Linked DNA regions of Drosophila melanogaster. The protein of the gene in region 1 interacts with the protein of each later gene in a pairwise test. Each region holds a gene or a part of one and is shown on either strand. Other genes may lie near its edges.

Region 1 (15,069 bases):
CAATTTATATTTTCCTTTGTGGCTACAGAGCAGCTCTCAAGTGTGCGGCTGTCGTGGTCGTCCTGGCAAATTATGAAGGGCGTCAAAGGCGGTCCTCTAAGCCAGGTTAAGGCCAGGTTAGTAAGAATAGTCCGTCTACCGACTGCCGGGCAGGCTTTGGGCCACCTTTCGTTTAGCCAGCAATCAACTTTGGCAACTCTTTCAATTTGTGTGGCAGGCGTGTGGGTGGCCCTATGTGTGCTTTCGGGCCTTGAGTGACTTCTTGTTTAGTTGGCAGTTTTCAAAACAGATCCAGCCAGCTTTTTCCTGCCCAAATTGCTTACAAAGTGTTTTTTTTTCTCATGCCGGCTTTTTATTCTTGGGTCGCACGAAATAAACGGCTGAGCAGTAAATCTTTGTCGGTTTAGGTTATTGAATATTTCATGCCCGAGTTGATTTATTATTTATTTCTTTTTAATGCCCGCTGAAGGTCAAACCAGCAGTTCCTTCGCCATGAACCCCTTTTATGGTCATTATGTGGGACAACAGTAAAGTCAAAAGCCCGAGGAGCCGATCGCATTCCCATTGTCCATCCAGCGGAACTGCCTCCTCCGATTTCGCTCCGCCCACAATCACAGTTTGCCTGGGCGGGCCAAAAAGAAGTCCACGACACCAGGACACCAGAATAGCAAAGCACCAAAGAGCCAGGACACTGGGAGAACACAAGCGAAGCAGAAAGCCGAGCTGGCTGGGAAGGGGAATTAGATAGAGACGGCATAATTAGAGCACGGCCACCACTCGGCGTTGCAAGCCTAATGAGTTCGGCTCGGCTTTTGGCGCTACGTTTGATGGCAATTGCACGGCCCTCTTCGCATTGTCATCGCTCGGCAAGGGAAGTCGCTAACCGAAAAAATCAGTGGGTCCTTCATACTCAATAATGCATGCCGCAGTCCCAGTCCCCAGATTTCGGACCAACCCCAATACCCATCCCCATCCGCTTCATCCTGCCCTTTTGTTTGCCGTTGTGGCGGGCGGTTGTGCAAGAAACGCACGACAGGGTGTATCAAGCTTACAGGACAGCACCAGCAAATTGAAGCCATAATAATAAGAAGACGTACTTATAACGACAATTCTTAAATTCCTCTTACAACTTAACCATTCGAAGTTGATACTAGGGGATTTGATATATATTAAAGGCAAAACTCTAGAAACTATCGGTTAAATTACTTCATAATTTAATGGTGATACAATGATAACTTTCCTTAACATTTAAATCCGATTGCAGAGGCTTAAAGCGTTCTTCCTAGGAATGCATTGCTCCAACAGCATTTTCTTGTCAAACAATGTGACCCACCCTGATGCAATGGTCGTGGGCGTCCGGCAGGAAGGATCTGGGCTGGGAGGACCAAATCCGTGACTGGCCGCCATTTGGCGCTCCGTGGGGTATTCTGCCCGTCCACAAAGTGCTTCCTGCAGTCCGGCTAGTCTGCAGGATATTGAAGTCAGGAGCGGGACAAGTCGCAGTCAGAAAACTGGTACACAGCAAAGTCCACTTACGTCCATGTTGAACTTTCACCCTGGCTGCTGCAACAGTTATTATGTTTGCATATCCCGGAAAATTTCGTGTGTTTTCCTCTAGCTGGGCTGTTAAATATTAATAAATCTTTTTCTGCATCGAAAAATGCCTTTCAACGGCGCAAAAAGTTTTCCGCCACAATAGACGCTTGTTTTTCCGAGTGTCTGGCTGTTCTGGGTGTTCTGGGTGTCCTGGTCGTGTTTGCATTTCTCCGGATGGTTGGATATGGATGGATGGATGGTTGGTGCGTCTGTTTGGGGTCCTTATGTAAATCGGTCGTTGTTCCTTTTAGCACTCGTCCTGTGCTCACTTGTTCCCGTGCTCCTAAGTGTTGAGTGTTTTGTTATTGAAGCATATTTTCCTCATTTGTTCTCGACCTGCACTCACTCGCCCGCTTTTAACCCCCGAATTGTTGTTAGTTGAGCACCAACAGCCAGCCACCAGGCAGGATCCTAAGGTGTATGCGAAACTTTTGCTCCTGAACCCTTTCATAAAGGACAGACCGAGCAGCAAAGGGCTTAATGTGTGTATTCGCTAAAAGCCTGTTACTGTTACTACTGCTGTTCATGGCAACCATGAGCTCCATGGATTGGATGGGTTGGATGGGCTGGATGGGCTGGATGGGCTGGATGGGCTGGATGGATAGGATGGCCGGGAACAACTGGTTGGTAGGCACTGAATTAAAAGTTTTACGGGCTCAAACTTTTGCCAACAAACTTGTGGCAGTCGCATAAAATGCCTCGACTACCCCTGAGCCTAAAAGCATGCACACACGCGGCAACAAAGCCAACTTAACACACAATTGCGCTTTTGCATATTTGAGCGCTGTTACAAAACAAACTAAATTCCGCGGACCAAATCAACAGAAGGATTTGCGGAGGACTGCCACTCTGAACCAGGTCAAGAGCTGTTAACTTGAAAATTACACAATTTGTGCATTTTGCCCGAGAATTAGCCAGTTAAAGTGCTCCAAAATGCCGAAAACCATTTGTTGACCAACTAGGATAACTCAAAGCCACAGCTTTCAAAAACAGAGCACTCTGGAAGGACTAGCGAAAAATGCATATAATATTCCAAAATTCGTCACACAACTATCGCTACATAATTCGGCCACAATATTTTGATGACTGCAAATTCACAAGAGCTCTGGAACAAAATGGCAGCGGCGGCCAATGACAGTAATTAAGGAAAGTGCAGAAAAAGTGACTGACACTTGGTAAATACCCATTGGGGCGGACTTGTTTGCCCCAGTGGCTTCTGACCGAGAGCAGATTGAAGGAGGAGCGAGCTGAAAGGCATTTCCCAACAGAGGTATTACACAAAGGGCCATGAAGCCAGTGGTCCAGGAACTGTTTGCTCTGACCGAGTCACGGAGGAGCTTTAAATACCAAGTCAGTCGTTGGCTTACACTCCGCACAATGGGATTAGAGGTGGAACTGCCTGCCAGTTATTAATAGAAATAAGCATCTGAATTAGATAGACAGTTTAGTTTTCAGTTCTCGACAACAGTATAATCTGATATCAATTTCAACGACTTACTCTTGAAGTATCAAAAATAACATACTTCCCTAAGTTGTTTCCATTAGAAGCAATTTCTGCAAAGTTTCACCAAGTTCTTAAATATATGATACCTTTTCTTATTTAAACGTTTGAAACTGAAATGGTCGAAAATTGTACTAAATAACACTTAAATCAATACGTCGTGGCAAAAATTTGCATATAAAGTACGCGCTAATGGTATTCATAGACATATGTTCCTGATCCGTATCCATATGCCCTTCTGTCCATCCGTCCGTTTCAAGTAAGCCGCTGTTCAAATTGTTTCCCTTTATTTTATCTATATATATATCATATCATTAATATATATCATAGTAAGCTTCGAAACGATTTCACTTCATTGTCCTCGACCGGGACCAATCAAAAAAGTTACTGCTTATATAAAATGCCCGATAATTGCCAGATAATAGTGTTAAGATTTAAGTTGATTGCAATAAACCATGGCAGCTTTCCCTTAGTATCAGTACGTTGATTTGTTATTGTCTTTTTCGCATCGCTTTCAAATAGCGAGCTTGAGCGGTCAGAAGCTTAGTTGGGTGGTGTTGTGGGTGCGAGTGCCAGATGAAGATTAATTTGTATGTTCACCCCTCAGATGCCACCACAAGACTCGAAAGACTTGGAAGACTGGGTGCCTGGGGGTCTGGGTCTCGCCAGCACAAAGGCACAGTCACGGTCATCAGCTGTTCATCTCTCGGAGCATCTCATCTCTGGAAACTGCCTTCTGGCTTGCCCCAGGTAACAGACACATCGGCATCAGGCAGCCAGAAATGGGGGCTGGATAAGATGGGAAGTTGGGCGCTTTTGTGGAATTCTTGTTTGGGGCCAGACACGGTGCCAACTGAATGATCAATGCTGGATGCTGGCAAAGAGCTAGTTCTCCTGGATTGTGTTAAATGTTCTATGAAAATTCATAAAAGGCTTGCTCAACTGTTTGCACGTCCTGGGACTAAAGCCATTTCTCAGTTTCGCAAACTAAGACATTGAGTATATTCAAATTCACATATTCACCTTTTAACACTAAACTTCATTATATGTAGTTGTCTACTTTTGAGACTGTACTTTTTTGGTACAATGACGCCTTTTAGATTCCATTGCCTTAAAATTTAATTAAATACGATAATGTATGTTTATGTTAAACATTAGCATAACTTACCTCCAGGTCAAAAACAGTAAATTAAAATGTTATTGCCACAAAACATGAAATTTAGTGGTGTGAAAAAATGGCTATTATATCACGCATACTAATGTTAATGTCACTTTTTATCTGCCTAAATAAATTTTAAAGATATTAAAAAATTAAAGCCGCTTTATTTAGACATTTTTCAGATGGACACTGTAATGTTTTAGGCGCAAAGACTGGTTTTAATTGTGCCTTCTAGTCTTATTGCCCAATAATTCAATAATCGCATTTGAAAGCTTTTGCTATTGGAGGCTATCAAAGGAGTTGATTCACTGGCCTGAGGTTATCTATGCAAATAGGCACGTGTCCTCGATTCGAGGACTTCGAGGGGCAGGAAGACGGTGCGGAATGCCGTTTGCAATAATTTAACTCAAGCCATCTTGACCCAAATTGCGGAGTGACACATCTCGGCGAAATGAAACCGCCCGCCCGAGGAAACTTTCATTTCGCAAGCTGTGGAGTGGGAGCCGTGTGAATGCTTACACTAATTAATGCGACACCTGCCTCATGTCACGTTCTAGTTGGGTTTTTCCGTTGGCAGGATTAATGAATGCAAGCGTTTTCAATTTTAATCCGCAAAAGCCGCAAAACTTTGGCTAGCCGCCATCATTAGCCGTTGTCAGGCGTCAGGCTGTCATTAAAAATGGCTTAAACATCAGCCCAGTAGGCGGTTGAAAAGTCCCCATCCTAGACACGTGTTTTTGGGGATGGCGAGAAATGGGACACCAGTGTCATTGATTTGCGGAGGGAGCTTAATTTTCCCGTTTAATAGTGACATAGTGACAGAAGTAGTGCACCTACGGACTGAAACAGAGGGTCCTTGAACTTCAAGAATTTCAAAGGCGCAGCGCTGAATGTTTTTCCATTAGCAGAATGGTCGATCGGGAAAATTCTCCCCGGACTAGAAGGTAAAATGGAAATGCAGGGTTTCCATTAGCGCCCGGAATCGAAGCGAAGGCAGTAAAATTTAAAAGCTCCGTATGCCTTTTGTTCTCCAACTTTCTCTGCTTTGCATTTCATTGAAAGGCATTCTGCACTCGCTTTCACCATCCGATCCAACCCAATCCAATCCATTCCATTCCAGTCCCTCCTTCTTCTCCTCCTCCACCGTATCCTTTGTGCCCGCCCGGCTCACTGGGGTTATGGCTGCGGGCAGATTCTGTTTTGAAGGAGGAGCACGGCTCTAATGCAATATAGTATAGTATACTATATAGCCGGCTGTGTGGGCGTAACGAGGTCACTGCTTTGGGACAAAAGTTGTCAACTCGAAAATTACACATTCTGGGGATCTGTAAAAAACACGAGCGAGTGTGCAGCTGCATGGGGGCGTGGCCAGAGCCAACATATCTTTGGCAGCCACTGCACAACTGTTGCCTTTATTTCGGCTTATCAGCCTGTAAAATGCGCAATTCAAATGCAAATGTGCAGCGTAATTAAAAATGTGCATTGCTCAACCAACTCTCCGACCCAGAATGCAGTCCGGAATATAGTCATATAGTCATACATAGCCAGCTATGTGGCCTGGCAGAGCCAATTTAAATATGTGCATGCAAACACACACACACACACATCTGGGAAATTTAATTAGTTGAGACCTTCGGCTCCTCACTGCTGCTGGCCATAAAAATAATAATGCGGAATGCGAACTCGGTTCGGCTCGGTAGAAGTGGTTGAAACGGATCCGCCACCCTTTGTTGGCTTCCTTTTGCGAGTCGAACATCGCAAATCGCTCTAAGCCCCACTATTCATGGCCGACAACATGGGGCACTTCCACCTGAAAGGGCTCTTGTAAATATTCAATTTCACACGTTCTATCAGCAGCCCACTGCCCACCACCCCACTATCCACTGCTGGCCAACCGACAAACCATCTAGCAGCTGTCAGCCAGTGTGGCCGCAAAATCGGCTCGGCACAGCCGGGAAATAAAGTCGCACATATTTTCAAATAAAGCTGCCGTTATCACAAATTGACAGCAAAGTATTGTGCGGCTGACTACTTTGTGTCAGCGGGTGCTGTGGGCTAGGGCTTGTTGCCAAAATGGCCAAATGGCTTTATGCGGTCAGGCAACGGGGCGGGTACGTAATGCGTGCGTAGGCGGCATGCGAAAGGGAGCGGCGCCGAACGGAACGGGACGCGACTTCCGCTTCCGGTTACACACACACACACGCACACACAGCTTGAAAGTGCCCTGCGGTCGGCTGTCACTGCGATGATTGCGCTGCGCACACAAACACAAACGGCTTTGGAAAACTAATAACTCGTCCCGAAGCGCTTTATTTAACAATATTAAACAGCCAATCTGCCGCAGGCAATTTCCGCATTCGCACTGCTTTTGCGAGGCCTGTCACATCGGCCAGGGATATTCAAACACGTTTTGAATGCCGATCGAAAAGCATATACTCAAAATTCCAAAAAACACAAGCCCAGCGCCCAAGCGCCATCATTTGTTTCCAGCCGACTTCCAGCTCCGATCGGGTACCAATAGCCCTGCACCGGACCCACTAAGATGGACGGAGGAGGGGACAACCAGCTCGCGGTGCGGTCCTTGGGCAGGCAGCGCGAAGCCTTCTCCCACTACGCGGGTCCACCGACGGCCATGCTGCAAGGACCCGATCCTGGCGAAGGAGACGTCCTTGCCCTGCAGATGGCCATAGAAGCCTTCATTCTAGCCGAACTCGAAGAGGATTCAGGCTTCGAGTCCGGCAGCGAAGACGACTAGCAGGATGGAAAGAGTAAAGTGATACTTTAGTAAATAGCACCCATGTATGAGCCATCATAAGAGGAATATATGTATCTAATGTTGCACCAACCTTGGGCTACATGATTTATGTATGCCGGTGGACCAATTCGCCCGCATTATGGACAATGATGCACGGCATTAATTAACTCGCAGTCTTACCTTTTGCAAATAGGATTACAAACACTGAAATGAAATAGAGCCATGTTTCGAAATGCCTTAGTTGGGTTTCGGTTTATTCATGTCGATTTGATTTCAATTTGATTTCAAACACAAATTCCATTTAAACACAGGGATGCCGGTGCATCTGTATCTGTGTGCGAGTTGCAGATTAGTAGAGAGTTGTAGTTACATTTATTTTACACATACATAAATACGCATATTTGTATACATTTTTAATATGCTCGTTCAAGATGAATTTTTCTATTTTTCTTCGAATTTACCATACGCTCTCTTGTGCAACATCAATAATAAATATTTACGTTTGTCTGCATCGGTATATTCGCATGTACGTATATTTTGCATTTTGATTCCATGGTTCACATGCCCATACGAGTATAGTTTTGTTCGAGCTCGGTTATAAAAAACTCGCTCGAATGTATTTTGATTTGCCTTAAAATCGAAATTGTTTTCTACTTTTCAAGTATTATATATTCCGCTTTAACCCCTTTCGAATAAATCAATGTTTATCACGCCTAAACTTGCTTTGAAATAAATGCTGTCTTTGTCGCCAGAAACCAAAACAAATAGATTTTCGGTAATCTCCGCAATTTTTGAAATTCTAAGTTTATATTAAATACAGTGGGGATTATTCCTTAAAATGTTATAGCTACTCGATATGGTGTCTTTCCTTGCCAACTTTGTGTTTGTTTAAACAATGTCCATACATTGCTCCTAACGTCAATTTTCGATTCATAGATTACGTATGGCTTAATTTCCAAAGAAGCGCGAAACAATAACATGCATGCAAATGAGGAGAACGTTGTTTGCTTTTAATATCAAAATTAAAATACACACGTTACACACGTTGTTCATTATTTGTCATTGTTCAGTTTTTTTCGTTTAGATTTAGTTTCCTATATTTGTATAAGTTACTCGTTTCACTTGGGGCTCTCCGTTGATAAATACACTGAAAACTCTACACGGTTTCCTCTCAGTCGGGAAATAATCTAAGTAATCAAACTGATCCCACCGAACTCGCTACGCACAGGTATAGGTTTAGATATTAGATTTAGATATAGAGTAGATACTCGTATATGTTTGTATATACTATATACTTCTGTTTGGTACATCTATAAATTCTTTACGATTGCTACTGCTGTATACATTAATGGATTTTTGTTGCGGAGAGAGATGAATACGGATTCTTATAAAATGCATAAACATTCAGCTTAAAGTCTAAACTGTGAGCCAACTGCGATTTCCTTCTTCTTCTTTATTCATTCCCCTCTCTCCCCTCTGGTCGGCTTGGATCGATACTATATAGTTTGGTACGAATATAATATATGTCTGCTGATAGGTTTCGTTTTAGAGAGTGCTTGGGGCACTCGTGATAGGGAGGGCTTTACACTGAAATCCATACAATTCATATTGAGTTGAGTTAGTTGAGACCGTGACATGCAATTCAAGAGTGAGTTCTGTAGTGCAGTTGTTGTGAGTGTGATTCGAATCGATTCGATTAGATTCGATTCGTTCGTTTGTTCGTTCGTTTCGATTCTATTTCGTTTGCTGGCTGCAGTTGTGGCTTTCGGTTTCAAAATTTAAATCACGCTTCGATCTATTCAAAAACTCCCACAGCTCATGCCGCAGGGGCGTTCCACCTGCTACCTGCCACTTGCCACCTGCCGTTGCAGCAACTTACAGCACAAACCCGTAACCTCAGTAACCAGTCGCATCGAACAGATCCGGAAGAACCAGCGGTGGGCAATTGTGCGGACTGCAGGTGACGCTCGGCATCTCGTCGGGAGTCACGGCATCCGTGCAAATGCACTGCAGGCAGTTGCCCGTGTCCTGCGGCAGAATGTCACCAATTTTATACAGTTTGCCTAGAACGAGTAGCGTTTGATTTGCAGTTTAAATGGGATTAGAAGTGAGCAATTGTTATGCGCAGTAGTGAAATACGGGAATGTTGTTTTCATTACCCAGACTCACGTCGGAATGTTTAGCCGGCAATCGAATGATTATACCGCTTATTTTATCAGAGATTTTTATTTGGCTTTGTCCTCTCTTACTGAATTTAGCAAAATGATTGAAAAGGCTTAAATAATATTTTAAATAGGCTTACTCAGCTGATGCAGTTCTTATCAAAACGCAAAGGACTTGACAATACGATTTTAGTCTGGCAAAATCTTTGTCGCAATGAAAAAGTATAGTAATATAAACTCAAACAGATGGAAGCAAACTGACCAAATAGCAGCTTGACCGCAAATGCCCGAGGATATTTATTTCTCTGTGCTACGATAATCCCCTTGGACGGCCACCTCCTTCGACTTGCTTGCTTACCCAAAACATTGCACATACGCCCTGGTGCCATCGGCGCAGTTGTTATAATCGTTGTCAGGGTGTACGGCGGGACAACAGGGCTCTGCTGAGGCTGATCCTGATTGTTGCTGCTCCTGGTGCTGCTGCTGGTGCTGACTGCCACTGGGTTCATTGTTGTTCCTGCTGCTCCAACCTGGCTGCTACAGCTGTTGCCATTGTCGTTAGCGCCTGACGTTCTGTTGCCATTTGCAATTAAATCCGTTTGGCGACGGGGATGCACATCAACTGCAGTTAGTGTAATGTCAATATTGACAACGCTCCCATTGAATTCGCTGCTGTAATCGTTGTACGAGCTGCGAAAGAAGACGGCGTCGTTGCCATTGTCTTTGCCGATGCCACCGATGCCGCCGATGCTCCTGTCACTCTTGTTGGCCGTGCCAACATCATCGATTATTGTCGATGCCGGCGTTTCCCGCTCCAGGCTGTCGTCCATGGAGTTTGTGTTGTCAGCATTCAGCTCGGTGGATGTCAGCCAGCGGTGGAAGGCGTCGTCTCGCTCCGCGTCTGGTCCACGGCGATCGGGTTGCATCTGTCCAAGCTGGTCGGGAATAAAGCACAGACTGTTAATTCGACTTGACTGCATGGTAAATAATAAACCAGCTCGAGCATGAAAAACCCCATTACCAGAAGCATTTCGGGCTCACTGGGCACACCACCGAAGGCGCAGAGTTCAAGCTTCTCGTCCGGGCAGCCAATGAAGTGGCAGTTTCCCCCAGACTAATTGGGTAAGGCCTTCCCTTGGGGTTTTCCGTAAAAGCTACTTTCGGGGACCGAGTCTTATAAATACCCTGAGCTTCTGACAAATGGAGGATAATAGTTTTAGTCTGTAAGGAGGCTTGGCTTCAGTTCGCTTCCCTAGTTCATCTTAAAATTAGAAAAATCACCCAACAAAGGAGGAAGTCTCTTGAAGATTCCTTAGGACTATCATTCGCACAATAACAGTATCACTCAGAAAGGACAAACATTGTCCCTCAACTTTTAATCTAACAGGAAGTTCTGGCATTTATTTCCAATGCTTACGTTTGGAGATGGATATGTTTTTGCGCTACTTTTCCAACACAATGCCCGACCAAAGTGAGGACCCTACTCAACCTCCCAACTCACATCTGTGGCTGCAACTGTGGCCCCGGACTTCTCCATTCCAGACAGCGTGCTTGTCACCATTTCATTTGTGCCTGTCGCCGTTGTCGTCGTCGTCGTCCTTCCCGTTGTCGCCGTTGTCGTTTTCGTTTTCGATGTCTTTGTCGTTGTCGTTGTCGCAGCCGTGGATGTGGATGCCACGTTGCTCGTCATCAACGCCCTGGCCGAGCTGTTACTAGATGGAGTTGGCCATTGTGTGGCAGCTGCCCTGGGCTGCTTTGTAGGCGGCTCTGGCAGAATATCGCTGTCGGTTTCCGCCTCATCAGAGTTTTTATCAGCGGCCAAGTCTCCGCTGGGTTCAACGCCTCCCTCTGCTGTGCCTCCGGCCCGCGATTCGGGCTCAGATGCGGATTCAGATGCCTTTTGTCGCGCCAACGCCTCTTGCTGCACCATCTGCTGCTGCTGTTGCTGTTGCTGCTGCTGCTGCTGCAGCAAGCGCTGTTTTTCGTGCAGCAAGTGCTGCTGGTGGTGCTGGTGCTGGTGGTGCTCGTGCTCCTCCGTCTTGTAGTCGTAGTAGAGCAGGGCTGGCAAGTTCTCGGGGAAGTTGAGGATTTTGCTGGACGAGTGCGCCTGTTGGTGTGGGTGGTGGCTGTGCTGCGGGTGCTCCGACGGGGGTGGGGGAGTTGGCAGGGGCGTCGAAGCTGCCTGCTGATAATGCGTTGCCTTTGCTGCGTGATTAACACCCAAAGCTGCCACATTCTGTTGCTGCTGTTGCTGATGTAGCTGCTGCGGTATTTTGAGCTGCTGCTGCTGCTGCTCGTGTTTGTGTTGCTTGATTATATTGTAGTTGCCAGCACCGCTCTTGTCGCTTTTGTGTTTTTGCTGCATCTGGAGCTGCTGCTTTATGGCGGACTTTTTATAATCCGACTGCTGCTGCTGCTGCTTCTCCCGCTGGCTGTGGTAAACTTCGTAGTCATTAAAATTCTTTTGATTCTTGCGATGCTTATGCCGCTTGCCAACTTTCCTCGCCGCTTTATGCACTTTTGTTGACTTTCCCGTTGTGCTCTCGTGGCGATATGGATCTGAATAGTCACCATCGCCATCGCCATTGCCATTGCCGTCGCCGTCGTCCTCGACACCAAGTCCAAGTCCTGCGTTGTCCCCCGCCGTCCTCGCCTTGTTTACATTGGCCTTATCTGCGAGAAAAAGGCAAAAGTTTCTCGTTATATTATGCATGCCGGGAAAAGCCGACGCAGAACCAACCGCACTTCTCCCACCAGCAGAAGATCTCGCCGTCCATGCAGAGACACACCTCGCAGGCATCCAGGCGCGGAACCTGGAAAGGGATATAGCAAATAACTTAGATGTTTCTCCTCCGACAAGTTCGGCCAGCAGGTGCTCCTGCGGCTTATACAATATATGTACACTGAACATGTGGGAACATGTGCACCCACAACCAGACAATCAATCACAACGCCAGCCGATTTGATGGCCTGAGATACAATGAATGGGCGAGCAAAGCACACATCTCGGCTGAAGGAGCAGGGAGACTGCTCTGGGTCTGGCATTCATATCATCACATGTGCGGTAACGAGCCACAAATTCAAATTATGCACTCTCTTTGTTCAATTACCAGGAACGCTCGTCCGATTATGGTTATTCAAATGACCACAGACGCAGAGTTCCATTGCAGCCTTACACCCACAAAAACGGATGTCTGAAGGATTCACTGAATAAAACGAGGGTTGAGTCAAAAGAAGATGACGAAGTAGAAAAATCATAGTACTTGTTAAATTATACAGGTCTAGCTAACATTTTCGCTACTGATTTAGCTACAAAGGTGCTGCAGGAACTTCTCTAGCTGCTTCCGAGTTGCACAGAAACCACAAATGTACGGCTAAGCACTGTTATAATTCATTTAACTCGTTTTTAAGCCAGTGAACTGTTCTTTTCTGACTAAATAGCAGCGTTCAACCAGTGAAAGACCGATTTGAAATATTGCCTCTGGCGTCATCCTACCTTCTGTCCGTGCGTGTACTTGTGCCCGTTGGTGAAGCACGCCGCTGCCCTGCTGTGCGGCTCCAGGTCGTCGTGGACAGAGGATACCGCATCCAAGTGGGACCCTGCTCCAGTCCCCTGAGCTGCCGCGGAGTCGCCATCCAGGGCGTTGTCCTGGCCGTCGCTCAGCCCCTGCCGCTGCAGCTCTGCATCGCTGAGCATCTGCTGCGAGAGCAGACGGGCGTCGTACTTGGCCTGGGACTGCGCCGTGTCCAGGTCGTAGTTGAAGTCCTCGTGCTCGTCTAAATACTCAAAGGGCAAAGCTGCGAAAGGGCGAGAACAAATGCAAAATAATCCCGTGCTGGTTTGGCTTTTCTCATGCGAACAGAGTCAGAAAAAATAGAAATTATATTTACTATAGGGTGGACCCGCATAACATATTCCCACGTTTAGCAGCATATGCTGTTTTGTTTATTAGGAAATATTTGGGCATATATTGATTTGGTTTTGCCGCTGCTGATTACGGCTTAAATATGAGCAAGTTGAATAACAAAAGTGTGATAACGTGAACATTAAACTAATTAACATTTTGGACTTTATTAAATCGAAATAAAACCCCTGAACTTTATTATTATTTGGCAGAACAAAACTTTTTGAATAGGATTTAAGTTAGCTGAGCACAACAAGTGTAAACGATTACATTATGAATTATATGCGTTTATAAATCACTTGCAAAATATTTCTTAATAAACTATGATAAAATGTTAATCCTGATGCAGTGGTAAAATATCTCCACATATCTCAGTTCACCTGAGGCTTTTCATTAGTGTATTCAAAATGCATGAAGAACAAGAATGATAACTATCTATTAATTAAAACGCACAGAATATGTATATGGGCCATAAGTATAGTTATAAAAACAAACAGATTAGTAAAATCCATACTTAAAGTGCTTGGCATTTTTATTTGTCCATTATCGGCTCGACAACAAAGTGCTGCCCGTCTCGAATGATTATTGTAGTAATAAATGCGTTTGTGTGAGCAAAGCACTAATTTTATTCCGAAGCTCTGGCTACTTATACAAATATTTATTCCGACGACTTGCCTGACCGGCCACCGATAGATAAAGCGTTTATATTCTCAGAATTGACTGGGCTGTTCAGTGTAGGTTGGGATTTGAAGGCTCCAAGATGCGTTCATCTACCGTGCTACTTGCGGCAATCGCCGTTCTCTTAGTTTCGGGCTACGAAGCTGCCGTTGTCCGAGGCGTCTTCGAGGATCCAACCCATCCTGGAAAGTGTGTTCTCGAGGGTTTGGTTCTTGAAAAAGGTCAAAGTGCACGCCACCCACAGAGGTGTGAGCGAATCATATGCGGAGAAAATAGTGCGGCAGAAATCCAATCGTATGTTTGCTTTTTACAACTCTATATACTATACTATATACGAACTTACTTTAGATGTGGTGCCTATGGACTTCCCCCCGGCAAAAAGTTTGGAAAGTACACAAACCCAAACGCAGATTACCCTGATTGCTGTAATCGTGAGATTATCAACCAGTAATTCCGTTTTGAAGAAAACAAAATTGAGCTCAAATCAATAAAAACATTACAAAGCGAAACGAATTAATAAAATCACTAAGTGTGAATATTAAGAACACCATTTAATAATATCTTGTGCTCGAATTTGTCTTAATAGCTTAAGTTAAAAATATCTAAAATCGGTATTTATCTCCGTTGAACAGCACATTTCGCATAAAAATGTTGAACGTAGATAAAGAATCATAAAAAATAATTAAGCTATAGTGGAGTTGTTAACAAAAACAAAAGGCGACAGTGAACCTTTTTGGTCATTTCATATCTCAAGAGAAAACAAAGAAGAGCGGTTCAAAAGTTCAAGGCAGTTTCCCTTTGAATAGTCACAAATATCTTATCAACATCTCAAAGTTTTTATGGATTCTTTGAAATATACCAAACTAATGTATAAAACAAGCAAAAGCAAGTAAAAAGGAAAAGCCTTTACTGATTAAAAATATATACATATGATCCATTACAGAAAATGAAAATCGATGGCCTAGTCTTAAACTTAAAGTGATTAGACTTCAAGCTACAAAGTCTATGAAACACCCAAAGATAGAAACATTTTTAAGCCAAAGTGTTAAGGAAAGGTTTCTACGTGAAATCGCATAATACTATAAAATGTTTTCTACTAAATTTGCGAATATTTTAATGCATCGCATGGTCCGAACACAATTAAATATTGACTCTACATTCGTCACTACGTGAACTGCCTCCTCGATTATTGAAGCCTGTCTACAAAATGAAAGACTTATAGAGCAGGGAAACAGGCATCGCTTACAGTCCCTTAGTGGTATATACAACAATCGTGGTTTATAATTCGTTACTTAGGACAGAACAAGGTCCAC
Region 2 (16,246 bases), on another chromosome or scaffold:
GCCAAAAAAAGATGCTGGCGGGCGGAAAATCGTGGGGAATGTACTTGAATTGGGTGGCGACTTAAGAAAGAAAAGCCTAAAATCTTTTTTTTACCATACTCACTTGGTGGATCTTCGGTTTATCGCAGAGAGAAAGACAATTTTTCTATATCTGAGTGGCAATAAATCGATCAATATTCTGAAGAAGTTGGCTTGAAGAAGGGGGTACTTTTCATAGTGATACGAATTAATCTATAACGAGTAAGTAATACTATAAAACCCTTTTTAGATAATGTGAGTGAGTAAAGAGTGTGAGTGCTGTCAAAATTAATATTGCGACCAGACATGTATACTTGTTCACTTGAAGGGTTTACAATCTTAAAAGATAATAGCAAGAGGGATCGCTATGGTCCAGTGTATAGACGGTTAAATACCCCTTATATTGTTGACAACATGCATAGCCAAGGATTAGATAAAATAGCCTAATATTTGGAAAATTGGTTTGATTTAATTTGGTAATATTGGAGAGGAGAATAAAATAAATGAAATAATGCAAATCTTTTTTACCGAACGAGCGACATCTTTTGGTGAGTAGAGGAGTGAAAAGAGGAATAATCATTTATAATATTGTAGTTAATCACAATGCCATTCTGTCATTCTCTCCAGCGAACACAACATATATTTAGTTTAAAGGGTAAAACTAAAAGCGCTTTAAAGTTAATAGAACCATTCCTATATAAAGCCCAATATAAAGTTTTCAATAAGTTATTCGATTACAATGCGAGCGGTTTCGGTGTCAGTGCTACTCATCCTTGTTGTCTGGGTGTCCTGTTTCGGCGAATCAGGCGCAGATTGCTGCTGGACAAAGGCCAAGCTGCTCTTCACGATGGGCACAGGATCGTGCGGAATGGTCAATGCCAAGACCACCAAATACGGATGCGAGGCCACAGTTTGCGCGGATGGAAGAGTGCTCAAGGGCACATATTGTGGCGTGGGTTCGTGCAATATCATTGGATGCTTTTGTCGCGGCGGCTGTCTCACTGGAAACTATGGCGAGTCATTTGTGGAAATAAATAATAGGTATCAGATCAACTTGATAAGCACCCAAATGAGGCTTGCCAATTTAACAGATACCGAGGCCTAATTTTAATTTTATTCCATTGAAATCAAAAAAAAAAAAACTTAACTTTGAGTAAAATAAAGCGTATCAAACAGATGTTATTTTTACGTGGTAAAAGTTTCAAGTTTGCTGATTGTTAATATACCTACCAGAGCGATTCGAAGTGAATATGTTTAAAGATTAATTCAGATACCGTATACAGTATTAAAATTATACCTTAGATAAATGATTCAATTTAGTGATGGAACTTGCCAGCAAAAATATTCATTTTAATAACGCGTTTTCAGGACATCTCACATAAGCGCGGTTAGGTTTCACCATTCAATTCAAGTGGTCGCTGGAGTTATCACTTTACCATTTAGATTGCATTATCCCCTCACTGGGCAACTGGGCAACTGGGCAACTGGACGACCTTTCGACCCCGGAAAGCCAATCATCCGTCCATCCAATCGCTGTGCTTTCGGGTATAATCCGTATATCTAGTGCTGTATCTCGTTATGACGCCCTGTCGCGGGAAGCGTCTCAAAGTTTTGGCCCACTGAATGGGTTCAAAAAGTGCCATAAAACACCCGCTAAACAGAAGTTTGCGTGGGGCGGGGGCGGCGGCCAAAGTTGGCTTTATGCCGGTGGCATAATCAAGGATCAGTGGGGGCAAGGACCAGGACCAGGAGAACTACGTGTCCACAAAGTGGCGCTCCGCGTGCAAACAGGAGTGGATGTGGCACTGGGCGTGGACGTGGGCGAAAAGAAATGATAATAATGCTCGGGTCAAAACAATATAAATGCAAATGCAGCGGCGCTGGCTGCTCAGTCGGCGTCGACTCAACGCCTTTTACAGTCCTGCAACGCATTTTAATCAGTTGGCAGTGGAACTCCGGCACCGAATCCAACTGCAGATCCCCCGTCCACGTCCACGTCCTCGTCCTTCATTCTGTTGGCAATCCCCGACTTTCCGCAGAACAGTGTCCTGGCCTGCTGGTCTGTCCTGTCCTGAATGCCAAGTGCGACGTCAGCGGGGGACAGTTTATGAGGATGGCGCGAGAGGCGCGAAAAGTTTACGCCTGCGGCTCGCAGGGGGCGTGGCATTGGGATGCACTCGACGAAATATCCATGGAGTTGTGGCACGGCAGGATATACAAATGGCATCCGATGCTCAACTTTCGTTTACAACGCATTTTAATCATACACACTAAGTTTTCTTTGCAGTGGATCGTGTCCGGTTTGGCCAGCATCGAGGGGACGACTGGTGACTGGTCCGCCCTCACCTGTTGCCCGGGCCATAAATCATAACTCAATTGAGTGGGCGTGGCAGCGTGCCCACAGGAAAAAAGCGTTCAGTATCAAATGGAATTGATTGCGAACATCCCAAGATTGCAGCAGCTTAAAAAGAGTTTCGCCAGTTTTCAGTTTTCAGATTTCAGCTTTCAGTTTTCCGAGTCCCCGGGCCCGTAAATCAATCGTTGGCCGGGATAATTCCCTCTGATGCGATTAGCCAGCAACTCCCGGAGTTAATCGAGGCAGCCGATAACGAGCCGGACCATCCGGATCATGGAGAATCGGAGTGCGTAACCGAGTATTCAAGTAGCCAAGTATCTGGATATCCGGGTAGCCGAGTATCCCCAACTGGGTTATGCACTTATTGGCTGTCCGCTTTTTGCGAATCCGATGAAACGGGTGTGGTGGGTGGAAAGTGCGTGGATGCATGGATGCATGGCTCAAAAGGCGCCGAAACTCGCTTTTCTTATTAACTAATTAAGGCAGCTGCCAAGCCAGATGCTGCCACATTTTCCCCAGCATGTGTGTGTTGCCAATTTAACGCTCCGGCTTTGTCGTCACTTTGTGTCTTCCTCGCCGTTAGCCCCCTTTTTTTGGTCTTGGCCCGGGAAATTTGCATTTCCATTTGCCTGCAGCGGGCGCAAGTTGCAGCTGGAAAACCCCACACCGCTCCAATTTTAATGAATTGCCAAAATCGCACAAATGCTAAACGAAAATTCAATTTGCAGATATAACAACAAGCTGGAGCAAGGCCTAAGTCGAGTCAAGAGCGTCGGGAATACCCTGGGCAAAACTGCTTTTACTTTGCTGGATGATGACTTTTATCCAAAATGCGAAGCAATACTTTTGATTCCTAAATAGATTTCTTAATAGCAGCTCGTATACCTTTAGTTTTCAGTGATCATTAATATAGGTAATACAAGTGAATTTATATGGAAAAAGTAATGATACTAAGGAAAATGAAAGATAAGAATATAATAATATAACATACCCAAAGCAACCAATTACTGGGTAGAAAAGCCACCGCGAGAGGCTTTTGCGATAGTAACAATAAATAAATTGCACATTTGCGGACGTCGACGCCTTTGCAACTCTGCCGGCAAATTGCCGTTGATTGAATTTATGTGTGTCAGGGGCGGGAGGGGCGAAAGGGAGCAGGGGCGTGGAGCAGGGGGCGTGGCACACAAACACACAGGCACGAAGATACACAAAAGACTCTTACATGCTTCATTATTTCTGTGGCTAAATTAAAGGATAATAGATTTATATGCTTGCCTGGGCCCGAACTGAAATCCATAAGATACACACACCCAAGCACGAGTATCTCGCAGATGCACAGGCAAATGCAAGTGCACACGCTGAAAACCAGGGTTGCCAGGCTTAAGTTATGAGGAGCCATTTAAAATCGTAGAAAAAAAATTACAAAATATCAGCATTCACGACTTGCGACTGCTCATAGAAATTGCCCTAGTAACATACTGGAAAACTTAAATTTTGGAGACCCTTAACCAACTTTTGTATAATGCAAATCGGGCATTGTGGCAGCACTGGTGCTCTTGTCCCAGCTTTAAGAAGTAGAAGAATAATACAAAATAACAACAAGCCAGGTCAAAGGCCACGAGTATCTCAATCGTGTTTGTTGGGCGAACCCATGGCTCGGCCAAGGAATTTTGAATGAAAAATATTTGAAATATCAAAATGCTTATGTTGATTTTTCCACCCTGACCCTCCTTCACTTTGACTTCATCCAATTCAGGAAGGACTTTTTCATTCACGACAAGAAGGCGAACAAGTAAGCGAACAAAGTTGCAAAAGGATGTTATGATGCTTTGAAAACTAGATAGAAGATCTACTTATTGCTTCTGTAAGATCAACATATGTATATCTTTAGAAGTTAAAGTACCTTTTTTTTTTTGTACAAACCATCAAACATTTAAAAAAGACAGAATCACACGATCATCGGAAATACTTATTGATATCAACTTTAGTAACGAATTTTTATATTTAACAATCTGTTATTAATTTATTTCATAATTTATTTTGCCCCGGTTGAGAAGCAAATAGAGAACTGCATGTGTCGTTGTTGTATGATTGCCATGCATTTCAAATGCTGCCCGAATAAATTTCAATGACCAAAAGATAAGTTTAGCATATTAGCATATTTTACGTAGCATACTTTTCAGCATTGACCGCACTGGAAAAACCGCACTACAATTTACCACAATCCGGCCACATGGAGTCGACCTCTACTCGTCCAATCGCAATCCCAATCCCAATCCTTTGCCCCGCAAATTCACTTGAACTCTCACTTAATTTTTGCTAATTTCTGCTGTTGTTGCCTTCGCCTGCCTTTCGGTCGTTAGGCAAATGATTAAGTAATTGCTCTGGCTCAAAAAGGAGGCGGTCCTGGAACTGGTTTGTTATTGGGGACTGGGACGTGGAACAGGAATAGGGACAGGGTCGCCGGCTCATGACCATCAGTGGCTCATTAGCTGGGGGCCGAGCGAGTCGAAAAAGCAAAAAAAAAATTAGGAAGAAAGGCAGCCGGCTCCAAATGAGCGAAGGAATTACACGGAATGAAGAGTGGCAAATTGAGTGAACGAGCGACTTTAAAGGACGAAAAGGATCAGGGAATGGGCCGGTCGGCGGTTTTATTGCATAAATTAACTTGGCCAAACACAATTTTGCAATTATTCTGCAATTAATAATTAATGTGGCCGCTGTCCGAGAACCGCAGGGCGAACGTTGCAGCAGAGAGGATGGTGCCATGAAGGATGGCCAAATGTCGAGGCTCAAGGCCCTTTAAACGGCTTTAAAACCACCCAAACGTTGAACTTTCGCACTTGAAGCTTTGCGGTCGAGTTGTCATCGGTGTCCTCGATGTCCTCGATACTCTCGTTTCACGGTGCTCAGCTCGAAGCGCTCGGATCTCAGCGCCCGGATCTCCTTGTTGCCGTCTGTCACTTCATTACTGTCACATGATAACTGGAAATTGTTGAGCCCTGCCCTTGGCTTTAAGTGGCTTTCACCTTGACGCCCACTCACCACCACACGACCCCATTGGGCGGCTTTGGCCATAGCAATGGCTCCATAAAAAAAAGGCGATACGCTCCGGCCACAAGGGAACTCATTACGGCCCAAGTCCGGCCAACAAGTCACATCACCGTAGTGGAAAGGCGAGTGTTTGTGTCCATTTGGCGTACGTTTTATGAGGACACATGCCCTAGCCAAACACCCCGTGCAATTGTATTCGCATATGTGTGGCACAGAGGGTGTCGCCAACTGGGGGTTGAAATGACGGGATACCCTGTAAAAATTAAATCGAATTTTTCGATGCTTCGTTCCAGCAACACAGAATTTTTTTTGTACATTATTACTACATTTCGCCTATCAATAAAATTGAATACTAAGATATTATCTGAGCATAATTTCACCTATGCCCATCATAGCTCATTTCCAGCTTAGTTGCACCCACAGGTGGCTTTTTTCACAAGGAGATTAAAACGCCAAGCCACACCGGGTCAATTGTTTTCGAGGGTATGGAGGAGCAGCATCCGCATCTCACAGACGCATTCTGGGCATTATTGGAAATTGTGCGCTTCGTTAGCGGCAAATATGTTGCAAAGTAGCCCCAGACAAGCAAACGCCTCCCCCCCACCACCCTCTTCGATTTTCCGATATTGACCAAGCAGAAGCGAGCGCTGAAAGCCTATTTCCCAGTGAGTCGCCACCACTTTTCCTGTGGATGACAGTTTTCTTGGGCTACGGCATCTAAGACGTTCCTTCTGCCTCTCATTCCTTTCCTGAAAACGGAATTTCCGCCTCCCAGACGACGACTCTTTGTGTTCATGTGCGTCTTTCGGCTTGGGCTTTGTTGCCTCGAAGCTTATCATTTATTGCTGCTGATTGCTTTGCCTGTCCATACAACCACCCAGCCACCCAGCCACCCAACCACCCAGCCACCCATCCAGCCACCCCCTTTTTGGCCACCCAGTGAAGGACACCCTCTTTGGATTTTGCATATGCATATGCGTAGCAAACGAAATGAAACGAATGCAGAAAAAAAAGTGCCAATAAAGAAATTTAATTTAATTTCCAACTTTGAGATATGTACATACATATATGGGGAATGAAATACCCGACGATGAGCCCCCTTTTGGTGAATGGAAATCGAAACGCATTTGTCAGCATTTCGCATTTAAACTTTTGCGCCTTTAAGTGCAATTTTCAAACATTTTGCGGCAGATTAAATGGGCGAATGGAGGCGGGACTGGGTCCTTAAATACGGTTAAGCATTTACATATGTTTATAAATTTGCACAGGAAGAAGTTCCCCTTTTCGAGGTCGGATTACAACGGTTTCTCTTGTGATGAGCCAAATGTGGGTCCAAAAGAAGGGAACATCTGTTGTAGAGAACTGAAGGATGTTCTCGAGGTTCTAAGAAGTGAAGATATTCCTCATTTTTCAATACTCATTCGGATAAGAAACCTATTGGATTTCTAAGTATTAGAAAATATATGACACTATTATTGTTGGTATGAATGCCTTTGGTGTCTTCAAAAGATCTATTAATTGAGCATACCAGCAACAAAGATTTTCGCTTAACAATTCAAAATGGGGAATTTGATCGCTTTTTTTATGCATAAATGTGTTTTTAAAAATTTGGAAATTTTGGAAATTTTATTTTGTAGTTACGAGATATTAATTTATGCCAAAAAAAACCCATAGTACTTAGTACCTGATCGACATTTTTCCTTCACAAGTCGACTGTGGACGGGATGTCAATCGAATTTGGCCGGATCGAGCATTCAAATGCCCAATTTCAGTTCTAGTTTCAAAGTTGTCGGAGCTCACGAAAAAAAACGGTTTCGAGTTGAATCAAGATATTGAAGTTGCAGCAGTTTTCGTTTGATTGGTGAGTGAAAAGCTTCCCTTTGCCCAGCAAATACAGCGTTTAACCCTGCCAAGCCCCTTCTCAACATCTCATTCATCGCGGGCGCAGAAATTGCCAGCGATTTTTATCATTTTAAATGGACGAACAACAAGAACGACGCAGTGAGCCGAAAAAAAAGTGAAAAAAAAATGTGAAAAAAATGTGAAAAAATGTGGAAAAATGTGTGGCGCAGTCAAGTGGCGGGCATTTAATGCCCGTTTTGTAGCCGTTGTTGTTGTTGTTGCGATCTCAAAGGCGGATTTGCATTATAATTTATTGCAGTGCCTGCATACTCTTTGTCCTTGTGTTTTTCCGCCGCTTTCCCATTTTCCTCGGCGCACTTTTTTGCTTTGGCTAATTTCGATGCCAGGGCGGTGATAAGCGGAGCATTTCTTTAAATGAGTTTTCCCAGTCAAGTTTTCCCCCGCGGGAAAAGTTCCAAGCAAAAGGCGTTGAAAATCCCGTTCTTAATACTTGACGCCCCGCTAACATTTATAAATTATTAATTTCCCCTCTCCACCTCATCACAGCATCTCTTCCCCCCCCCCACTCCACTCGTTTTCTGTGTTTTGGCTGCTGGATTAGTGGATCAGTTTATTCATATGTGGTTCAAAGCAGCCAAAAGAACAAAGAGCCGACACGAAACGACGGCTTAAACTGTCTCTTGTTTTTATTAGTCCAAAAGCCGCGTTGCAAAGCCACCCAACCACCCCCAAAAACAGCCACCCACTTCGCCCACCCGAAAGGTAAATGCGACACGTAGCTTATTAGCAGCGAAAGCAAAACTTTCATCAGTTGGTGTAAGCCCGGTTCTGGAAAAACGTTCCAAGCCCATAAAGTACAGTTTTCAATAGCCGGGAAATCCGGGAAAATCAATGCAGCTGCGTACTGCGATTAACTGAAATGAAACTAAACGAAGGATTAAATACCCTTTGAGTAAAATATGCGTGGCTTTTACCATGAAAATGTAAAGCGTGTTCGCCAAAAAGCTCAATGGCATATGTATATGCACAGGGAATATGTACAGTCTCATTCATCTGGATATTTTTGGATAGATTACATATGTATGTGTGTAATTTATAAGTATTGATACGTTACCCAGATTATTGCATACAGATTTAAATTCCCCTTTTCATCTGCAGTTCGTAGGGCAACGCAAAAAGGATTTAGAATATTATAACGCTCAGAAAAAAAAAAGACGGATAATTTGTATATTTTTGTTCACTTTTGAGCTAGAAAGACCTCATTAAAATAAACATAAATTGTAAATTAATAACTATGCTTTTGGCCCTTGACTAATTGACATTTGATATTCGGCTCTGAATTTTCGACTCGAAGGGCCAAATAAAATGCATAATTAAGACCGTGAGTTGTCAGATATTAGCGATTCGATAACGAGGACAATTCAACGGCATTTCACTTTATATGAAGTTCAATTTAATAGGCACCTATTTCTGTGCCCCTTTCATGTACCGAATTTGGTGGACGATTTCGTGTGCGAGGGAAATTGTTTAATTATTTAGTAACTCGATGCTTAAAAGCTTAACAAGCAAAAGCCCATGCTAATGATGGGCGGCCAGTGGGCGTGATATCCTAGCGACCAAGCTTCGTCATAATTTGGCCCAAAATGTTGATGCCGCCATTAAATCAGAGTCACAGACCTCGTTCTGCTGACCACAGAACCTTTTAGCCAGCCCATTTCCATTCCCACTCCCACTTTCCCACTTGCCCACTTGCCCACTTGCCCGCAAAAGTGTCAATAACGTGGCCAAGAAGGAAGAATCGAGGGAGCCGGAGGAGGAGGAGGAGCTATTACTAGCTAGGGGCCAGAAGGCAGTGGCCAGGATCTTTCGCCCGGGGCCAGCTGGTGTCCTTAGCCTGGGCAAACAATAAAATATTCAAAGTTTATAATGTAAATTAACCCAAAGTTGCCTGATGTCCTGCCGCGTCGTCCTCTGCTCTCCACTGCCGCCAGGCGCCATGAATACACAATACACATGTCCCCCGGAAATTGGTGGGGTCGCACCGCCCTGCCATCCCGTTTGGCCACCATAATTTCTGATATTCTTGGGGCCTCACAAGGATTTGGCCCGGTCCTCGTCCTGTCCATGTCGCCGCGCCGAACTGTTTGGCTAATCAAATTTTATTGAGCCACTGAGTGCTGGGCGGCGAGACAGCCGAAGTGGGCGTGGCATCTAGTTAACATGGCACCGAGCCCAATGGTCAATAGCAAACTATAGTTTAATGAGATTAATTTGGACAAGGACTTTGTGCCTGTAACTGCATTAGTTGCACGCAAATTTCGTATCCAACTTAAATTGGCTGAGTGCTATTTTAATATATTTTCATATAAAGCATATAGCTAAAGTTTAACAATGCATTTTTGCAACTGATTAATGTTGAACAAATCGTGGCATATATGAAGTCTCAAGGGACTTCAGTTCGCCTACCCACGTAGCTCATATCTCTAATTACTACGTTGCATATTAACTGACGAATGACCTACTATTTGATATATAGGCCAGATATCTTGGTCATGAGTCAGTCCCGGCTTGTAAATTGACCTTTGATCGCAGCCAGCTTCCTCATCTCGAAACCATCCCACTCTCCTGGCCATCTTCAGACTATGCTGATGCTTAACTAGCCGCTTATTCATCAGAGCTCCGAAAGCCGAAAGCCGGGGAATGATGAATGCCCCCAGCAAATCGGATGAGATGCGAGCAACTGGAAGAGCCATCTCGGTGGAGCTGCTGGTGGAGATGGAGATGGAGATGGAAGTGGAAGTGGAAGTGGAGACTTCAGTGGTCACATGCCACAGCCCGTTCAAGTGTTGTTGGGACATAAACATCTCCGGGCCCACATGAAATGTCATCTTTCATTAGATTAACGATTGTTCCAGTGGCTGGTCGTTGGATGCTGGGATGCTTGGATGTTCGGGAATGTTGGGGAAGGAGTGGCGTGGGTGAGGAGTGGCGTGGAGTGGCAGGGGCAGGGCGGCGTCCAGTGGCAAAGCTCTCTGCCCGAAATCAAATCTTCAACAATCTGTTCTGCCAAATGCCTCCGCACACGCAAAAACGGGCTGAGATGAAAGGGCGGGGAATCGCCGGCATATGGCTCCCCGCAAAAAAGTGTCAAATGCGTGGGGACAGAGGCGAGTGGGAGAGGGGGGGAGAATGAGCCTATGGCGCCAGGAACAAAACCAGGACTCAGGACTCAGGATCCAGGACGACTGTCAACTTGAGCCTGACAAAGTATTTGCGGCTTGCCAGTCATTTTTCGTGTTTGTGGACAGGGGCAGAGATTGTGTGTGTGCACTTGCAAAAATTCTAGTTGACTTCGTTGGGAGTTTTTTAATACACAACATGAAAGTGATACGCATTTTCAAGTTCCTTTTATTCATGCTTGCTTTTAATTCACTCATTTAATTCAATATTACTATTTTTTTTTTTTTTTTTTTTTTTTTTTTTTAATTTTTTATTATTTATTGAATCTTCCCTTTGTGTTAAGAGACTAACAATAAGTGTTCAAATCTTAATCTAACTTAATTAACTTTCACTTAGTGATAGTTTTTTTTTTTCATTAATGCCCTAATAAGTTTATTGCTGGGCTGGGAGGTCGTTGCGGTGCAGCCGGCTTTGACTGCATACTCGGATTAGTTTTCTTGCGAGGGGATTTGTATGGGTGGTCAGCTTTTCGTTATACTTCGTTTTTTTCTCAGCTATTACTTCGATTACTAATTTGATTTTTAGGTCTCTGTGTATGTTTTCGTTTCGAAGGTACCACGGCGCTCCAGTGATAATTCTCAGAATTCTTGACTGTGCTCGCTGAATAATGTCTATGTTACTTCTGGATGCGTTGCCCCACAGCTCGGAGCCATAAGTCCAGATAGGTTTTAAGACGGAGTTGTATAGAAGAGCTTTGAACTCCAGACTAAGTGGAGAGCGAGCATTTATGAGCCAGTGGAGGTTCCTTGCTTTAAGTTTAAGATGTTTCGATTTGGCTTCTATATGTTTGCGCCAAGTGAGCCGCCTGTCCAGATGAACTCCCAGATATGTTACCTCGTCGGCTTGTGGAATGCATATGTTATTCAAGACCAGTGGTGGGCATGTTTGTTTGTTTAAGGTAAAGGTAACCTGCTTGCATTTTTGAACATTTATTGAAATTCTCCAGTCGGCAAGCCATCGTTCTACAGATGTTAAGTGTCGGGATAGGAGTGCCGTGGCTTTTATTGGGCATTTCGAGCGACTGAGTATCGCGGTATCATCAGCGAACGTGGAGGTTGTTAGATTGTAGTCTATGGGGAAATCCGCCGTATACAGGGTGTATAAGATTGGACCCAGTACACTGCCTTGCGGCACTCCAGCTTCGATTGCGCAATCGCGTGAAGTGCTTGTATCGCATCTTATTGCAAACACTCTGTTATATAGGTATGACTTCAGTAGCTTATGTGTGTTTTGGGGCAACAGCTTGATTATTTTAAACAAAAGTCCATCGAGCCACACTCTGTCAAATGCCTGCGCGACGTCTAGAAAAATGGCTGTGCAGTATTCTCGATGTTCAAAAGCAGTACGAATTTCTGACGTGATTCGGTTGACCTGTTCGATGGTTCCATGTTTTTCTCTAAAGCCAAATTGATGTGTTGGAAGTGTGTTGTTTATTCTAAGATGAGGGCTAATCCGAAGGAGTAGCATTTTTTCAAACAGCTTTGAAAGACATGTTAGTAAGCTTATCGGTCTATATGATGATGGCTGCGTTTTATCTTTTCCTGGCTTTGGAATCATTACTATGGTCGACTTTTTCCATTTTTGAGGGAAGTATCCAAGCTTGGCGATTGCGTTGAACAACAGGCAGATGTGAAGAATAGCACACTTTGGGAGTTCAATGAGCATTCTTGGAGTTATTAGGTCGTAGCCAGGCGATTTTCTTGGGTTCAGTTGCTCTTTGATAACCTTTGCTAGTTCACATGGTCGGAATTCAAAGGGTTCTTGAGGATCTAGATTGGCTGCTATTAAAGGAGGGAGAATAAATGTGTTGGTAGAGGGATTTGGTCGGAATACATTTTGTAAATGGTCAGCGAAAGCACTGGCTCTTTCTTCATCACTTCGAAACCAGGTGCCAGAGGGACTTCGGAGTGGCATAATTGGCGCTATTGGAGTCTTTAGGTTTCTGTGAGCTCTCCAAAGAGGGTACTTAGTGCTGGTGGGAGAGAGTTGCTCGATATATGAACGTTGGCTGTTTTTTTCCTCTTGTTTGAGAGCATTGGTAAGCCTGCGTGTGGCTATCTTAAGCATGTGCTTAGTAATTGGTGATCTATTAGACTGCCAATCCCTTCGTAGGCGTCGTTTATCTAATACCAGCCGCTCGATTTCGCGATTAGTTTTGATGTAGTTTGGTTTTGCATACGTCACTGGCGGGGTTGAAGCCTTTGCAGCCGAAACTAAAATGTTTTCAAGAGTTTCCGTTGACTTGTCTATATCCTCCTTTGTAGATAATGCCGTCGTTAGTTCTATGTGTGAACAGACATACTTTTGATACCTTGGCCAGTTTGTTCTAAAATTTGTGAGTCTATACGGTGGGTCGACGATGTGGGGGCGAGTTAGCATATTTAGAAAAACAGGTGAGTGATCTGATGATAAATCTGCTAGTGCTTCGGCGGTGACCATGTTGCGGGGGACATGTTTAGTAATTGCAAAATCGATCAGGTCTGGGATTTTTCTTGGGTCTGCTGGCCAGTATGTAGGCTTACCCGGGGATACATAGTCTAGCTTGTTTTCTGGCTTCGTAAGCGCATTGTACAATTGCTTACCCTTTGGCGACACAAGTCGAGATCCCCAATGGGTGTGCTTGGCGTTATAGTCACCCGCTGCGATGAACCTGTCACCTAGTGTGTTAAAGAATTCCATGAATTGATCCTCAGAGATTGGAAAGCGCGGTGGGCAGTAGACTGCGGCTAGAGTCGTTGAACCATTGTTGAGTTGTAAGGCTATGGACGTAGATTGTAAGTAGTTTTTGTCAAAATTGTTTAAGTGGTGGTGTTTTATGCGATTTCTGATGAGTATTCCAGTGCCTCCATGAGCTTTACCATCTGGATGATTTGTACCATAGAACAAGTATCCTGGTATATGAAAATTGTTTTTATTTGTGAGGTGCGTTTCTGATAGTAGCATTACGTCGATGTTTTTTTCGTAAATGAACTGTGTGAGCTCTTGTGTATGCCGTGAAACGCCATTTGCGTTCCACAGAGATATCCGTAGGGAAGCCATTATGGGGATTTTGAAGATACAAGAAGTTGAATCAGGATATTTTGGTTTTTCATGAGCTCTTGCAAAGTATTTTGCATGAACGTCATGAAGTCTTTCATGCTTTGCTGTAGGGATAGCATCATAGCTTCGATGCCACTTTGTTGTGTTTGTTGGATGTTTGTCGGTGTATGTTCGGAATGAGCAGTTCTTGTCGGTGGGGCGGGCACTTCTAGTCCGGATTTTAGGGCGCTAGCGAAAGAAATTGTTGGAGTAGTGCTTGGGACAGTTAGGGGTGGTTGAAAAATCGGTTGCGGAGAGTAGAAATTGACTTTGTTGTATGTATGTGCTGTGGCAATACGTTTGTTTAGGCGGCTCTTCAATTCTTTGTACACCACACAGCCTCTGTAGTTTGCAGTATGTTTTTCCCCGCAGTTACTGCATTTCTTCACAGACTTATCGTCCTTGTTTTTGGGGCAGTTTGCGGTAGTATGAGGTTCGCTACAGACAACACATACGGACTTAAGGGTGCAGTATGCCTTGGTGTGGCCGTATTCTTGGCAATTAGTACATTGAACTGGATTGATACGTTTGTGCGGCTCCTCCACGGTGATCCTCCGATGTAGCAAGTACTGTAAATTGTATATTGGGTGCACTTCGTTTTTCTTTAGTGCCTGGAGCTCTGGTTCGAGTTCTATTTTGAATAGTGGCTGCGGAACTTTGTCTTTGTTTAAAATATTAATAGCTGTCTTTGCAGAAAAGTTTTTGGCCTTCAGAGCCTCAATTATCTCAGCTGGTGTCACTGTTGCTTCAATGCCCTTAAGTACTACCTGTAGCCCTTTGCAACTTTTTAATTGGTATGTGTAGTAGTTTTTACCAGCATCATTTAGGTATTTAGTCACTATACGGTGGTCTGCTTCTGTTTGGATCTGTAGTTTTATTTCATGAATATTTCCTTTTTTAAGTGGGATAATGTGGAACTTGCTGTCACCAATCAAAGCAACGAGTTTATTTACAAGTGCATTTGTACTTTGTTCTCGTATGAAAATTGGTGGAGGCCTGGTCTTTTTTGGTTCCCCTACCGTTTTTTCGTTGGGTTGTTCGGTCGCAGAATCAGCCAAGATAGCATATCGGTTTGAATTATTTACTGCAGAGTTTTCATTGCCGTTGTTGGTTCGATTGATTTTGGGTTGATTACCTGCCTTATTGTTTTGAGGGCTGAGCTTTCTCTTGATTTGGATGTAGCGATCCATGCCAGTCTGCACAGTCGAAATCGACTTCTGCTTTTGTTTTGATTCTTCTTTACGTGCATTATTGTTGTTGCAAACGGTCAGTGCTGCTGAATTATTTACAGCTGGCACAGCGATAATTAGTTGGGCCGCTGACGAAGTTGATGTTGTGGCAGTTGCCAGTGAGGTCACTGCACTCGTTATTGCAGTGTTACAGTTACCCGGGACGGTCGTTTGGCGCTGCGAGAGGAGCGGGGTAGGAGAGGCGGTCTCTTCGCTCCACGACTTGTGAGCCGAAGCAGGCAGAGAGGGAGAGCAAGAACGCGGTCTGTCGTTCGCTGAGGGCAAAAGTTTCGAGTTAGTTGAAGGTGAGGGTGCTCGATCACCGATTTGCGGTGAGACGAAAGAAAAGTATGCATTGTTGCGTTGTAAAGAGAGCCGGCGCTCGTCTTGTTCACATTGTCGCTGAGAACGTATGTCGTTTTGATTCATTGTTCTAAGTCCACATATAACAATTACCAGAACAATATGGAATAATTATTTATTTTAGTAAATAATTACTATAGTCAATAATTGTTAGTTGTGCAAACTGCACTTTACACTTTGTGTTTAACTTTCACTATACTGTTGTAGTTTTTAGAACTTGCTATTCGTAGCTTGAAAGAAACACGTCTCCACCCGAAGACTGTGGAATGCTACTATTAAAATACTATTTTTCTTGATCTGTACCTATTTGTTGACTGACCAGGAGCGAGAAAGGGAATGAAATTGGTAGTGGGTTTGAGTTGAAGAGTCAGCAGGAATAAAAGCAAATGAGGCTTGAACCAAATGCAAATTAATATGTGGTGCTGCTGGGCGGGAGATTCTCAACCATAATTCTGCCAAACTGACCTCTTCTCTTTCCCAGGCACCAAAAGCAGAAAATGTCCGAAGAAATGGAAATTACTCCTATTACCGGAATGGATGAAGTGTCCGAAAAAACTGCGGAGAAAGTCTTTGCTCCAATGTTCGAAGCAGAAATGTCCGAGAAAATGGATATAACTCCTGTTACCGGAATGGATGAAGTGTCCGAAAAATCTGCGGAGAAAGTCTTTGCTCCAATGTTCGAAGCAGAAATGTCCGAGGAAATGGAAATAACTCCTGTTACCGGAATGGATGAAGTGTCCGAAAATTATGAGGAGAAGGGCATCGCGCCAATATTCAAAGCACATATGTCCGAGGATACGGAAAATACTCCTGTTACCGGAATGGGAGAAGTGTCTCAAACTTATGAGGAGAACGCAATTGCGCCAATGTCTGAAATATGCGCATCAGGTGACCCAGTATCTCCAATGGATGGAGTAGCCCAGGAAGAGAACACATTTGCCTCCATCCCAGATGGTATAACCCGACTCAAGGACATTCTTGCTACGCAGACATTCCTTGTCCAGAGAAATGAAACTGTTGTTCCCAGAAATGAAATGTCCCAGAT

What was found.
Region 2: the proteins of CG9445 (region 1) and CG14190 interact in a two-hybrid assay, tested with the Drosophila melanogaster proteins (one large-scale study listed by BioGRID).

The regions. Positions count from the first base shown.
Region 1 is NT_033778.4:6,830,532-6,845,600, reverse strand, and holds CG9445 (uncharacterized protein), read left to right. Parts: upstream 1-6,545; 5' UTR 6,546-6,798; coding exon 6,799-7,011; 3' UTR 7,012-7,527; downstream 7,528-15,069. Other genes in the region: CG34215 (uncharacterized protein), read left to right, coding at 13,839-14,050, 14,105-14,207; CG15236 (uncharacterized protein), read right to left, coding at 8,908-9,074, 9,532-10,108, 10,675-11,846, 11,914-11,986, 12,670-12,971.
Region 2 is NC_004354.4:19,049,716-19,065,961, forward strand, and holds the start of CG14190 (uncharacterized protein), read left to right. Parts: upstream 1-7,195; 5' UTR 7,196-7,289; intron 7,290-15,682; 5' UTR 15,683-15,698; coding exon 15,699-16,246. Other genes in the region: Diedel3 (diedel 3), read left to right, coding at 758-1,123.